Linked DNA regions of Pelodiscus sinensis. The protein of the gene in region 2 interacts with the protein of the main gene of each other region in a biochemical or structural test. Links are inferred from orthologs where the notes say so. Each region holds a gene or a part of one and is shown on either strand. Other genes may lie near its edges.

The links. The genes of interacting proteins can lie anywhere in the genome.
Region 1: the proteins of OXSR1 (region 2) and WNK4 are reported together in a solved structure, tested with the Homo sapiens proteins (2 studies listed by BioGRID and IntAct, with this or other methods). The link is inferred for Pelodiscus sinensis from reciprocal best matches to the Homo sapiens genes OXSR1 and WNK4.

The regions. Positions count from the first base shown.
Region 1 is NC_134739.1:8,658,809-8,666,244, forward strand, and holds the start of WNK4 (serine/threonine-protein kinase WNK4), read right to left. Parts: upstream 3,094-7,436; 5' UTR 2,638-3,093; coding exon 2,125-2,637; intron 1-2,124. UniProt on the Homo sapiens protein: Serine/threonine-protein kinase component of the WNK4-SPAK/OSR1 kinase cascade, which acts as a key regulator of ion transport in the distal nephron and blood pressure.
Region 2 is NC_134712.1:247,504,665-247,512,002, forward strand, and holds the start of OXSR1 (serine/threonine-protein kinase OSR1), read right to left. Parts: upstream 3,017-7,338; 5' UTR 2,880-3,016; coding exon 2,810-2,879; intron 1-2,809. UniProt on the Homo sapiens protein: Effector serine/threonine-protein kinase component of the WNK-SPAK/OSR1 kinase cascade, which is involved in various processes, such as ion transport, response to hypertonic stress and blood pressure.

The DNA of each region.
Region 1 (7,436 bases), on a different chromosome or scaffold from region 2:
ACTTGGAACTCGCGGCTGCGCCAGCCGCCCCAAGGACAAGACGGTGGTCAGAGAGGTTGGACGGCAGCCGAAGCCCAGAGCGGGAGAACTCCCATCCAGCCCTGCAGCAGGAAGGAGGAAGGGGGCTAGAGAAACCGCCCCCCCCACACACTCAGCACAAGCGCCCCAGTGTCTACACCCCCCTCTCTAACCCCAGCAAAGGGAGGGGGGCAGCGGAGGAGGAAGGGGTGGGAGAGCTGAGAGGAGAGCAGACAGCGCCAGGTCCGGGGGCGGTAAAACAGCTCCTGCATCCAGCCCTGGAGGGCACCACGGTTTCTGTCAGCGTCACGCAACCCCCCACAGCCCATACGTCCCGACCAACAAATATCTGTTGATTAACCCACAGGCACTCCTAGCCTACGGTCAGGAGCCCTGGAGTCCCAAAGGGGGGCTGGCGCTGTGGCCCCAATGGAGGGGGAGGGCTGGCGCCGTGGCCCCGAAGGGAGGGGAGGGCTGGCGCCGTGGCCCCGAAGGGGGAGGGGAGGGCGTGGCTGGTGCCGTGGCCCCGAAGGGGGAGGGAGGGCTGGCGCCGTGGCCCCGAAGGGAGGGGAGGGGAGGGCGTGGCTGGCGCTGTGGCCCCAAAGGGGGAGGGGAGGGCGTGGCTGGTGCCGTGGCCCCAAAGGGGGAGGGGAGGGCGTGGCTGGTGCCGTGGCCCTTCTCTACACTTCAAAAGCTCCTTGAACACGTGCCAGCGGTGCCCTAAACCAGAAACTGAAGGAACCAGCTGCCCACAAAGTGGCAATGGGGGCACGGCTGGCATCTGAAGCAGCCCCTCTGCTGGGCGGGCAGCCGGTGCAGAAGACTGCTTGGCACTTCACCTGCACCCCTGGCACCCAAGGCCCCATACGCAGCTTGCAGCTCCTTGGGGCAGGGATCGGCAGGGGCGGGGCTGGCTCGCTGCCATCACCAAGGGATGCGAGGCTACGGTGGACGTGGGGAGCCCAGAGCCGCACGAAGCTGGGAGCCGTTCCCACCAGGGCCCACCACGGCAGAACTACCACACACCCGAGCTGCCTGCGCATGGCACTTGTGGATCTGAGCCAGGCCAGGGAGCAGGAAAGGGCCGGCGTTGCCTGGCTGCTGCAGTCCATCTGCAGAAATGGCACCGCTGGGAATAGCCGTGAATTAGAGTAATTCAGTATCTGTGGCGGCAGCTGCCAGCTCAGGCGCCTACGTAACAGACACCACCCTGCGCTGCACAGGTCCGGCGTGCCAGCCACAGGAGGCCACAAGCATGGGAGGGGAGGACCTGGGGCCGCAGGAGCCAGCGATAACAGAACTGAACCCACGTGGCTCTATGCCTCCTGCTTCAGTGGGAGGCAGCAGCAGGAGCGGGTAGGGGAGGCCCAAGGAATAAGAGGCTGAAGCCAACAGAGGGGGCAGGGGAAGCGCCACACACTGCCTCTCAGATGCCAGGTGGGGGCATGTCTTGAACTCAGCTTTGGGGGGGGGGGGCAGGAGAGCCCCATCTGACCCACGGCTCAGTCCCAGGCCCATCAAGGGGGCGCTTGCCAGTCACACCCCCCCCCCCACCTTTCTCCAGTCCCTCTGGTGAAAGGAGCCACGGACCTGGCCTCCTGCAGGAAAGCTGGCCCAGCCCCACGGCCTGCCCCAGCCCTGCCAACCCCCGGGGCAAAGCCAAAGTAGGGAGCCAGACCCATCTGACTGGCCAAGCTCTGTCCCATCTGCACAGGCCCAATTCCTCCCCACGCCGACCGGCCCAGTCATCCAGCACCCGGCACTGTGGGGACTCCCCTGCAGCCCTCCTCCTCGATCCACCCTCCAAGGGAAGCGGAGGGCTGCCCTGTTCCCAGGCAGTGTGGGGTTAACCCGAAGCAGAGCCCCCCGGATCTGGGAACCTGGGGGGTCGTGTGGGGCAGCTTGGCTGGAGGTGCCGCACCAGGGGGCAAGAGACTGGGATGCGCCTGCCTCTTAGAGGCTGTGCAGCCAAGGGATCACTGCCCCAGCCCACCTGCGGGCACAGGTGCGGGATCGAGGGGTGGTCTCCCGCATGGGGGGGGGTCACAGTTTGGGTCAATAGCTCCCACCCCCGCATTGCTCCCCGCCACGCCCCCGGCCACCCACCTGCAGCTCGCACCAGGCCACCTCCACGGTGGTCTCGGTGTCCAGCCCCTTGTAGACGGTCTTGAAGGAGCCGCGGCCGATCTCGATGTCGAACTTGAGGAAGCGGCCGTCCGGGGAGGTGGCCACGGCGCGGGTCTCGATCTCCTCGTTCTCGTCCTGCGCCCGGCGGCTCTCGTCCGGGGAGGCGCCGCGCGGGGAGCCCCGGCCGGGGGGCGGCGAGGGCGTCTCGCTGCCGGAGCGCGCCGCGGGCTCCGCGCCTTGGCGAGCCCGGGGGTCCCCCCGCGCGTCCTCCGGGCCCGGCCCCCGCCGCTCCAGCTCGGCCGAGCTCCGCCGGCTGAACTTGTAGGAGCCGCGGCGGCTCTCGCGGCCCGCCAGCCTGCGCCCCCGGCTGCGGAGCGGGGCTGCCCGGCCGGGGGTCCCCGGTTCCAGGGCGATGCCGCAGCCGGACAGATCCACCTCGGGCTGGGACATGGCTGCGGCCGCGGGGGGCCCGGCCACGTGGAGCATCAGCATGGGGGGGGGGGGTGAGGGGCTCCCCGCGCCGCTTCGCACCTGGGGGGCGCAGCCGGACTGGGACGGGAGCCGCGGTGCGTGCGGCGCCAGCCCGGAGCCGAGCTCCGCCCGCCCGGCACCGCCCCCGGCCCGCCCCCAGCGCTGGAGAGCGGGGTCCCGCAGCCGCCTGGCCTGCGCAGCCCGGGGAGCAGCCCCCGGAGCGCCCCGCCACCAGGAGGTGTTGGAGAGGCTGGGACAGCGCGGAGCCCCCCTCGCTGCGGGAGCGACCCTACAATAACAAGGCGGGGCGACCAAGCCGCCTGGCCTCTGTGCCCCGCTCCGAGCCGCGCTGCCCTGGGGCCTCTGGAGCGGGTTGTGGTGGCCACAGGAGGAGTCCTCCTGCCCAAACCAGCTCCTCCATTGTGCAGCCCCAAGTGGGCTCCGGAGGGGGGGGGGCGCGGAGAAAGCCCCAAAGAAACAACCCTCCTTGCAGATAGACCCAGGCTGGGCTAGGAGCACGAGGGCATTAAGACCCCTGGGGAGACTGCGGGCTAATGAGCCCTGTGGGCCAGGTGCCTCCTGCCTGCAGCTCAAAGACAGACCCACGTCATGGGAAGGTGTTAGCCCAGGGTGCCCAACTAATGCCCAAGTCCTTCTGTCCTGTCCATGTTGCTTTGGGAAAGGCAGGAGCCTGGCTTAAAGTGGGGGTAGACTGAGGGGGCTCAGGGTTCTGTTCCTGGCACTGCTGCTTTGCCGAACCCTTGCCTCTCTCTGGACCTCCGTTTCCCCATCTGCCCAATGGGCTTGTGCTGCTGACCCCCTTCACAAAGCGCTTTGAGATCTCGGGAGGTTAAATGTGGTTGCTATTCTTAGAGAGGCCCACTGCTCTGTCCTGCTAGCGGGTCGGGGGGGGACCTCGACCACGACCAGGGCCGCTGACCCACAGAAAAATCAGTCGGGGGCTGCACACAAGTGAGAAGCAAAAAAACCCAAACCAAACCCTCACTGTCGTGGCCCCCGACTGAGAAGGAGAAAGACCCTCCCCACTTTCCCCTCAAAACCCAGAGAGCGGGGGGGGGGAGCACCAGCTCCCCAATGCTAGGGTGGAGCCTTAAGCCTCAGGGGCTGGATTCAAGCAAGCTGGGGGCTGCATCCAGCCCCTGGGCCTTAGGTCCCCCACCCCCGCGCTTTGGCATGCGTTCCTATGAGCAACACAGAACCACCTGCTGTCCAGGGCTCCTTCCTCAGCTGTCTGTTCTGCAGCGCACTCGGGGAGGCCGTTCCTGCTGGCGGAGACTCCTGATCCAGCCACCCCCACACCAAGGAAGCGCCCTCTAAAACGCTGATGCGGCAAGGAAACAGGAGAATTAACCCATCTGAGTCCCCATTGGTCACGTCTTCCCTCACTTGGCTGCGCGTTATTCTGCTGAGGTGGTAACTCTCCAGTGCTCAGGGACGTGAGTAGGGAGAGCCAGGCAGGTGTTGTCACTGCCCCGTGCTCAGAACCTGGGCCAGATTTCGGGGCAGGCTGCTGCCTGGGGTGCCGGCCGTGGGGGGCACCAGGCTCGGAGGGCTGGTTTTAGACAAAAGAGAACAGAATCTTGGAAGTAAAATGTTCCAGGCATTTGTGAGTGGATTCTTTTTTCGTTAAACTCCTAGAATGTTCCGGCCCTTTGTAGAATCGTGTGGAACCTTCCAGACTTTCCGAGAACCACATTTTCCTCAAACTTCCAAGAACGTGTCAGCCAGGCCCTTGCAGGTATTTCAGGGGCGGCCCGTCACCTGTCAGTCAGGGAGATATAAGAATGAAGTGAAAGCCCAGGTGCCATATTGTGATCAAGGATGGGGAACATATGGCCCAGGGGCCGGATTCGGCCCCCGGCTTGCCTGGATCCGGCCCTCGAGGCCCTCCCTCCCGCCCAGGGTCCACACTCCAAACCTGTTTCCCAGCAGCCTCCTCCCACATACTGCACTCCTCATTTTCTGGCCCCACCCTAGAGGCTAGAGGACCCCACAAAATCTACTGGCTCAGCCCCTCCCCCCCATGCTCTGGTAACATGGGGAGTGTCTTTCTGCTTCTCACATCAGTGACTTTTTTTTTTTTTTTTGCTTCTCACTTTTGTGTGGGCCCCGACTGGTTTTTCTGTGGGACAGTGGCTGCCGACCCAAAAAAGGTTCCCCACCCCCGATTTACTGTGTAATTGTGTTTTAAGATGTGAAGAGTGTAATTAGCACCAGATAAAGGACAGATTGAATGAGAAAGATAAGGGTTCAATAGATATTTTTCCTATGCTACAATATAAAAGAAAGACTGTTATTTCCTTTGCCAGGCTTATCATGTAATGTTTGATGACTTACTAAGGCTGGAGGACAAGGACTTTTGCTCTCCCTAACACTGGCTGTTTTCCACTGAAGAAAATAAAAGATTCCCCGGAAGAGAAGGAAGCAAAAAGCACAGTTGCAATCTAGTTTTCAGCAAGGGGCAAATCTGATGGGAAAATAGCAGAAACAGGACGACACAGACTGGGCTTACTTTCGGCTGTTGGGGTTGTCCGAGTGCAGAGAAATCGAGGAGTGACATATAAATGAGGGGAGTCCTATGACTATAAAATTAGAAGATGTACTTGAAGAGAAGGAAGGAAAATGTGAGGAAAGCGATGGAGAATCGTCCAGGTTTCTTGGCGGTACGAAGGAGCGTGGTGATACAGGAGAATATGAAAAGGGGAGTCGTGGCAAAATATAACCTGGCTTATGTGAACAGGAGAGAAACGGTTAGGAAGAATCGACCTCGTGTGATGACAGAAACAGCTGTGACTGCCATCCCCTCGCCCTAGATGTGTCAGACGCAGCATCGTCGTCTTTAGAATCAGGCTCTTTTCGGACTGCTGCAAAGGAGGTACGCCCTGTTTTTGGCATCCGCAATCAGGTGGAAAAAAGGCAATGTTACAAATTGGACTGTGACACCACTAGGCAGGGGTGACGGTGGATGCTGGGACATACCGGTGTGTCCTGTACTGCTTCGGGTGTCCTTGGCCAGCAGCTCTGGGCCCCCAGAAGGGACCTGGCCTCAGCCAGAAGGAGTGAGGCAGGGGGCAGACTGCCCCAACTAGTCCTTCATGGCTGCTGTGTCCGCAGCCTGGAGCCCTGGGACTCTTGATGGCAATCTGAAGGACCCAGGCCCTAATAAACTGCTGGCCCCTGAGGCAGCCCCCCTCTGCCAGCGGCGTTTAGTATCAGCCGTACACAGACCTGTATGGTGGCCGGGTCTTAGTGCGCCGAACCATCCTGCACCAGCCACTTTTCACCTCTGCCACTAAGTGACACACACTGGGAGAGCAGCATCAAGGCCGGCGGGAACCAAGCGACTGAGGTTTATGACGCCCTCGTGAACTGGCGCAGCCAAGTAAAGCCAAGGCCAGAATCCAAGACGAGGCACAAAGCCTGGCAAAGCAGATCCCTGGCTTCAAATTTCTGGTCTCAGCTGTGGTTTGGCATGTTCTCCTGTTCCAAGTACACGTTACACACAAGGCATGACAGACTCGGTGAATGGACATCGCGACTGCTACTACGTTGAGGAGAAGCTGCCTTGATTGCCAGAGAAGACCAGGGTTCAAAAAAAATCTAGACAGAGGTCTATAAAATCATGACCGGTGTGGAAAAAGTGAACAAGGAAAAGTTATATACTTATTCCTACAATATAAGAACCAGGGGTCACCAAATGAAATTCATAGGCAGCAGGTTTAAAACAAACAAAAGGAAGTTTTTCTTCACTCAGCGCACAGTCAACCTGTGGAACTCCTTGCCAGAGGATGTGGTGAAGGCTAGATCTTTAACAGGGTTCAAAAAAATGCTAGATAGATTCATGGAGGTTAGGTCCATCAGTGGCTATTAGCCAGAATGGGTAGGAATGGTGTCCCTAGCTTCTATTTGTTTAGAAATGGATGACAGGAGAGGAATCACATGAGGATTACCTGTTGTGATCCCTCCCTCTGGGGCATCTGGCATTGGCCTCTGTCAGCAGACAGGATACTGGGCTAGATGGACCTTTGGTCTGACTCACTCTGGCCATTCTTATCTTCTCTTATGATTTCATTGTTGCCTACAGAGACAACAGACTTGAAGATACTATCAACACTGCAGCTAAAGAAATGTGGGGAAACTGAGGATTTAAGCCCATCTTCAAGGAAATTCATATTAATCGGAAGAAGTTTGGTTAGGAGGGCAGAGATGAGGTGATGGGAAGCTTGGAAGAAAATTCAAGAGGGAGTTTTATTGCTCACTCATAAACAGGGCTTGACAAACGGCAGCGAAAGCCACTCGCCAACCCCGCACTGCGCATGTGCAAGAGCTGCATTGTGCATGTGCACGCCACCGGTAAACGGGGCGCCGGGCTGAAATCTACTCGCCACGGGCGAGTAGATTCAATAGTTTGTTGAGCCCTGCTCATAGACACTGCTTGATTAGCCATCAAAGAAACATTTGGACAAATGAAGCACCATCAAAAGACTGTAGGGGAAGAGGGAGGATGGTTGTGTGACCGTAGTAAGCTGCCAGCGGACAGGAAAATCTCTTGAACAATTGTGTGGACCTTCACCAGACACATGGGGAACGTTCGGCCATCAATGCTAAAGACCTTTCTGTTGAATTGGACAACATCTGTCACATTTTGCCACATGGAAAGCACTCTGCATGCCAAGCTCTCCCATTCATCCATGACACAGAGCTGAAGGGGTCACCGAATGACATTAACAGGTAGCAAGTTTAAAACAAACAAGAGGAAATTTTTCTTCACACAACACACAGTCAACCTGTGGAACTCC
Region 2 (7,338 bases):
CTAGTGTACTGACAAAGTTATTAAAAAGAAAGATTGAGAGAATCAGGACAGAGAAATCTACCACACCAATGAAATTTAAGTCAACAGAGACTCCGTCATTCATAAGAGCAATGGCTGTTCTCTGAAGCTGAAAAAAAGAATGAATGAAAAAGACTTCAACTATATAAAGACGCAACCATAGCAAAATCCCTCCTCTTCTAAACAGAGGCATATACAGTGCCTTGAAATTAATAATCACCATATGAATGGACTCTCCCTTCTGACTGAATAAAGCTTGGAGCAGCTGCTCTATAAAGGAAACTGTCTTCCTTGGATTCTGGAATATAAACTGCCCTTCATTATTTATCAACATCCAAAACCCCTCAATAAACACCTTATCACTTCATCCTTCCTACCAACCAAGACAGCCCATGCATCAAAAGGTACAAAAGGTACTCCTCCTCCAAAACCCAAAGTGGGCAGGCAACCACCCATAGCAAATATCTCCAATTCGAAAACAAAGACAGCCCAAAAATGAGAAAAATATAGAGAACTCTTTCCCAAATGACTCAACTAGTGAAATCCACTGACTCAGTGAAGGGGGCAGGGGAAGCCACTGGACCATAGGCTACAATACACAACTCCAGAGGAAAAAAATACAGAGTTCCCTAGAGACACTTCCAGAAACATACACTCTAATTATTTTGAGATCCAATAGGCACTGGAGCGAGTGTATAGTGACTTCCCTTCCCTTTTCAGTTATAAGAGAGAGACACTTCAGAAATCCTAGCACTCCCAGAAGCAGAAACTGACAGCCCCACAGGGCTCCAGAGTTGCCAGGCCCACCCCACCCCGGAAATCTTACACTTGCCCAGGTCCTAGGAGCATACATACAGTTCTCAAGGCATCTGCAGACCTGATGAGACGGGCACTCCCAGGTCCCAAAACACTCACAAAAGAACTGGAGTAAGAGCCCAGTCCCCCTTTGCCCTCCTATTTCCTGAGCTGGAACAAAGCCCCTCCATTGCAAGCACGGCCCTAAACCCCAAGATCCCCCAGCCCGAGAGCAGGAATCCAGCCCACAGAAACTGACTCGGAAGGGAGACAACGGGAGAGCCACACCCCCTCGCGGCCGTCCACCTCCGGAGTAGGAACCGAGCCAGCACGTCTCCAGGTTAAGGCCAGGAACACACAGCCCTGCCTCGCCCCTCCCCCCCCCCCAGGGCTGGGCAGATGCCCCGGCGACAACTCCTACCCCCAGGAGCCAGGTCCCATCTCCAGGGACAAGGCAGACACACCCCCACGCTAGGGCCGGGAAGAACGGGGCCCCTAACCCCCAGCACAGACACGCACGCACCTCGGAGCGACCCCCCAGGAGCCAGGCCCGGTCTCCAGGGTCAAGGCAGGCAGGCAGGCAGACACACACGCTGGGCCGTAGCCCGCTGCTACCTGGCACGACACCCCCCTCCACACACACACCTCGGGCCCTTCTTCCCAGGAGCCAGCCCCAGTCTCCGGAGCCAGAGCAGACACCCTCACACACATACGTTGGGCCCGAACCCTTGTTCCCCGACTCCGGTACCGGCAGACACACACCCCCCCCCGGACCCGGGCCCTCTGATTCCCGTACGGACAGACACGCCCCCCCCCGGACCCGGGCCCTCTGATTCCCGTACGGACAGACACGCCCCCCCGGACCCGGCCTCTCGCCCCCTGACTCCCGTACGGACAGACACGCCCCCCCCCCCCCCCCGGACCCGGGCCCTCTGATTCCCGTACGGACAGACACGCCCCCCCCCCCCGGACCCGGGCCCTCTGATTCCCGTACGGACAGACACGCCCCCCCCCCCCCGGACCCGGGCCCTCTGATTCCCGTACGGACAGACACGCCCCCCCCCCCCCCACTCCGGGCCCCCTGACTCCCGTACGGACAGACACGCCCCCCCCCCCGGACCCGGCCTCTCGCCCCCTGACTCCCGTACGGGCAGCGACCCCCCCCCCACCCCGGGCCCCCTGACTCCCGTACGGACAGACACGCCCCCCCCCCGACCCGGCCTCTCGCCCCCTGACTCCCGTACGGGCAGCGACCCCCACCCCACCCCACCCCACGCCCCCTGACTCCCGTACGGGCAGCGACCCCCCCCCCACCCCACCCCGGGCCCCCTGACTCCCGTACGGGCAGCGACCCCCCCCCCACCCCGGGCCCCCTGACTCCCGTACGGGCAGCGACCCCCCCCCCCACCCCGGGCCCCCTGACTCCCGTACGGGCAGCGACCCCCCCCCACCCCGGGCCCCCTGACTCCCGTACGGGCAGCGACCCCCCCCCACCCCGGGCCCCCTGACTCCCGTACGGACAGACACGCCCCCCCCCGACCCGGCCTCTCGCCCCCTGACTCCCGTACGGGCAGCGACCCCCCCCCCCCCACCCCGGGCCCCCTGACTCCCGTACGGGCAGCGACCCCCCCCCACCCCGGGCCCCCTGACTCCCGTACGGGCAGCGACACCCCCCCCCCCCCACCCCGGACCTTCGTCCCTCGACTCCCGTATGGGAGGAGACACCCCCCACCCCGGGCCCTCGCCCTCTGACTCTGGCACGGGCGCAGACACCCACCCCGGACCTTCGTCTCCCATACGGGCAGACACCCCCCCCCGGTCGGGTACACACCCCCAGCAGCCAGGCCCGGTCTGGAGCAGACACCCCACCCGGCCCGCTGGCACAGCCCCGCTACGGCCACGGCGGCCAGCGCAGCCGCACCCCCACCCCAGCGCTCCCGCAGAGCCTCCCCCCGCCGCAGGGAGCGGGCAGCCCAGGCCCGCGCGCCCCACTCACCGATCACCTCCTGCAGCTCATAGTCATCCCTGTTGATGGACCAGGGCAGGGAGCTGGGGTCCTCGGCCATGGCGGCGCGTCCCCGGGGCAGCGAGCTGGGCAGCGGGGAAGGACCGAGAGAGGCGCGCCGCCCGAAAGCCGCCCCTGCCTGAGCCCTCGCCGCGCCGCCTCCCCTCTCGCCTCCCCATTGGCTGGGCGGTCAGCGGTGGGGGCGTGGTTACAGAACGGCGAGGGGCCGGGCGTCCCAGTCACGCTGGGCGGGGCCTAGTCGAAACCATTAAAAAAAAAAAGAAAGCCCGTAGAAAAGGCAGCCCGTAACGTTCTGCAAAAAAAAAAAAACCCTACGCTGCTATGGAAACCACTTCTCCACCCCCCCTTCCCCACTAAGATGGGGCCTCCCACCACCAGCGTACAGCGACGCGGGATGACGTCACCCGCAAACGCCTGTCGACGCCATCTTGAAGAAGGTGTAGTTCATCCGCCATATTGAGTGAGGCGCTTGCCAGCCGTCTCTCGCCTCCCCAGGATTTCAATCACCTCCCATCGCTATCATCATATGAACGACTGCTTATAGCTAGGCATCCCGAGGACGATAAGGACTTGAAGAGCTAGAAGCGGGTTGAGAGCATGCCACATACAAGATGGCGGCCGTTCGCCTCCTCAGGGAGGTGCAGAAAAGGACTTCCCCCACGTCTCTATGACCGCTGTGGATTGGTTCTCAGCTCCTGCAGCGATTGGCTGAAAGGCTGTCAATAGCTTGAAGCCCCGCCCCTGCTAATATGTGTGCCTTGGGTGGGGAGAAGAAAGGATCAGGGCAGTGCTGTGTTGAGCTGTGTGGGGCCTGTGCCCAGTGTACCAGGCAGAGCCCATCTTGGGGGGAATGGCTATGGGGAATGCGGCTCTGAGGCGCATGGCTTCATCATGCAGAAGGGCCGGTGAGTGCATCGCCACCTAGCCCTGGTCATGCCACCCGTCCTGTATGTCCAGGGGAGTTCGATTTTACTGTGATGATCCCAGCTGCTTGAGGCAATCCTCTGGGATTGGAACTCCTTGCCGGAGGATGCGGTGAAGGCTAGAACTTTAACAATGTTCAAAAAAGAGCGAGATAGATTCATGGCGGTTAGGTCCATCAATGGCTATTAGCCAGGATGGGTAGGAATGGCGTCCCTAGTCTCTGTTTCTCTGGAAGTGGGTGACGGGAGGGATCACATGAGGATTACCTGTTGTGAGCCCTCCCTCTGGGGCATCTGGTATTGGCCACTGTCCGCAAACGCAATACTGGGCTAGATGGAAGTTTGGTCTGACCCAGTATGGCCGTTCTTATGTACAGTTATTTAAATTTAGGGAGCGGTTATGATGGGTTTCAGCTGGGGCAGAACAAAGTTCACTCTTTCCTGTCTTAGTTCTCCTCGCTGCCACAGGCTTCTAAATACTTACCCCTTCCTAATTTCAATACAGAGTAACATAACCCGACTTTCTGATTTAAGTATCAGGTCAAATGAAGTATTCTGACTGATTACTAACCATGATAAAATCCTGGAAGCATTTTCTGGGTTTCTCAGCAAGACGTAGCCCCTTCAGTTATGACATTCTTCATATTCAGGGTGAGATATCAAGAAGACTAAGTGTTCCATTAGCCCTCTCCAAACAAGGTGCCATACACCCCCATCTATTAAAATCAATTGAGAGGCATTGGAGAATGTCAATCATTTTCTTTACCTTGGAAGTTATCTTTCATCCAAGGTAGAGATGTTAAGTATCAGTTCATTAACTAATCAAGTAGTTGATGCGGGGAGGGGGGAGGGGGGAGGTTAGATTATAAGCGGGGTTAGCTCCCAGAGGTAGCTCTGCACTTTAAGGCTGTGTCTACATTGACATGATTTTACACAAAAGCATGCTGCCTGTCTACACTGGTGGGGAGTTCTTGCGCAAGAACACTGACGTTCTAATGTGTGAAATCAGTGCTTCTTGCGCAAGAACTATGATGCTCCTGCTCAGGAAAAAGCCCTCTTGCGCAACTGTTCTTGCGCAAGAGGCCAGTGTAGACAGGCAACATGAATTTCTTGCACAAGAAAGCCCGATGGCTAAAATGGCCATTGGAGCTTTCTTGCGCAAGAGAGCGTCTACACTGGAACGGATGCTTTTGCACAAAAACACATCTCTTGCACAAAAGCACATGCCAGTGTATATGCTCTCTTGTGCAAATACTTTAACGCAAAACCTCTTATATTAAAAGTATTTGCGCAAAATCTTGCCAGTGTAGACGTAGCCAAAATGTAATAACATTATTTACTACATTTAAAGTGCAGAGCTGCAGCAGGATTAGCTCCCAGGGGCTGTGTGAACCGGGACCAAAAAGTCCCATCTCGTGCCGCCTATGGGACTGCTGCAGCTCTGCTTCCCCTGCGCTCCCTGTACTACGGAGACAGTGCTGGGGGAACCAACTTTTAAGCCGGCTCCACCCAGCACTGGCTCCTACTCCCCCAGCCTTCCTGCCTCTGATACAGAGACAGCAAAAGGGAGAGAAGCTACTAGCTGAGTAATCACTCGACTAATCGCTTACATCCTTAGTTCAAGGCAGATATTGATGTAGAAATCCAACATCGGCTGAGCTGTGCCACTTCAGCCTTTGCTTGGTTACAGCACAGGGTTTTTGAAGATCACAACATTTGAACAATCATGAACCTTCTTGTCTATCAAGCCGTCATTCTTCCAATGCTGTTGTATGGATCTGAAACCTGAACAACCTACAAACATTATTTGAAAGTCATTGAGAAGTACTACCCACCCTGCCTCCTCGAGATCTAGAAGATCAAATGGGAAGACAAGCACACTCACATTAATGTTCTGAAAGAGGTAAAGACCACCAGTATGGAGGCAATGATCATCCGTCAGCAACTTTGCTGGACTGGTCACGTTGTTCAGATGCCAGACCATCGTCTCCCAAAACAAGTCCTGTTTTCTCAGCTGAAAGAAGGGTACTGTAACATGAGAGGACAGCAGAAGCATTATAAGGACTTGCTAAATGATAACTTTTAAAGAAGAGCAACATGCACAGCTGGGAGACATCCATCCAGGATCACTCAAAATGGAGAGAAGTTCTCTGTGATGGCCCCTGCTTTTTGAATTAGCCTGCCAACATGCTCAAAAGGAGAAAAGGCGCAGGAGGAAGGGGAGACTAGTTTCTAGTCATGGTCAGCAGCCTCCTGCTGTACCTGGAAACATCTGTCCTCATTGTAATAAAACATGGTTCAAGGATCAGCCTTATCAGCCATTTGAGGGAGTACAGCTCCCATGGAAGATGATCATACTTGGCAAAGAGTAATCGCCCATCAGATCTGACTTTGTAGGAATGCCCAAAGGCAGGATAGGGGAATAACTGTGCTAGGTACTCTACAGAGAGTGGGAAAACTGTTTCTAGAGTGTTGGCTATCTCAGGCCCTGTGTGTGAAACTGCACTGCACAGAGGTGCACAGCTAAGCCTATATGGAGCTTCACTGATGGATGTGTGTGGCAGAAGTAGGGCCTAAGGGAGGGGGACAGGGTAACTCAGAAGGAATGGAGCGATGAAGAGGATAATAATATTAACATAAATTTACATAGACTATACAGACAAGGTGAGTGAGGTAATATCTTTGATCAGCTTCTGCTGGTGAGAGACAAGCTTTCAAGCTGCACAGATATTTCAGATCATACACTAATTATGCACTCAGCTAGACACTTTCAAGACAGTTTTTAAATAGATAAAATAGTTAGTGCCAGGGATAACTCTAATCAGCTGGGATATTTGGCAAAATCTGTGGAATTTCTATGTTGGGTTTTATTTTTGCCTTCCAGTTTACCTGCAGAGGTGACTGGAGAGAAGGGATTGGGGGGTAGGAAGCCACCAGCCATGTAACACCCCTCTTCTGCCCCAAGCCCTGCCTTGTCCTCTGTCCTCCCCAGGTTGCCAGGTGTCCGGTATTCAACCAGACTGTCCGGTTTTTGGGCCCTCTGTCCGGTAAAAAAATTCAGAAAATACCAGACATGGGCAATGTCCAGTATTTTCTAGTTTTCCAGCTGGGCACCCGAGGGAAGCCTGGCGGGGGCAGGGGCAGGGACTGGGAGGCAGGGCGCAATCGGCGCTGGGAGCCTCTGGTTGCTTGTGATGCCTTGGGGAGGAGGGGAAGCCCTGTATGTGCTCCTGAGTGCTGTTCCAGTTCGTTGTGGAGCTGTACCCGGACTCACTCGTGCTTCACCGGGACCATGCATGGGACAGCCAGTGCCCTGGGATCTGCACGTGCCCGGGTCAGTCCTGCTCCCTGCCGTCCGATTCGCTCCCCCTTTCTCCTTCCCTCCGCTCTCCCTGACCCCCTCTCCAGGCCGGTTCTCCCCCACTTCTCCCAATCTTCCCCGGCCAGCCCTGATGCCCCCACCAGCCTTGCTTCCGGCGGCCAGTTCTCCCCTCCTCCTCCCGATCTCCCCCAGCCAACTCTCCCTCCATCCCCCGCCAGCCCTGCTTCCCGCCCGCCAGTTCCCTCGCCCAATCT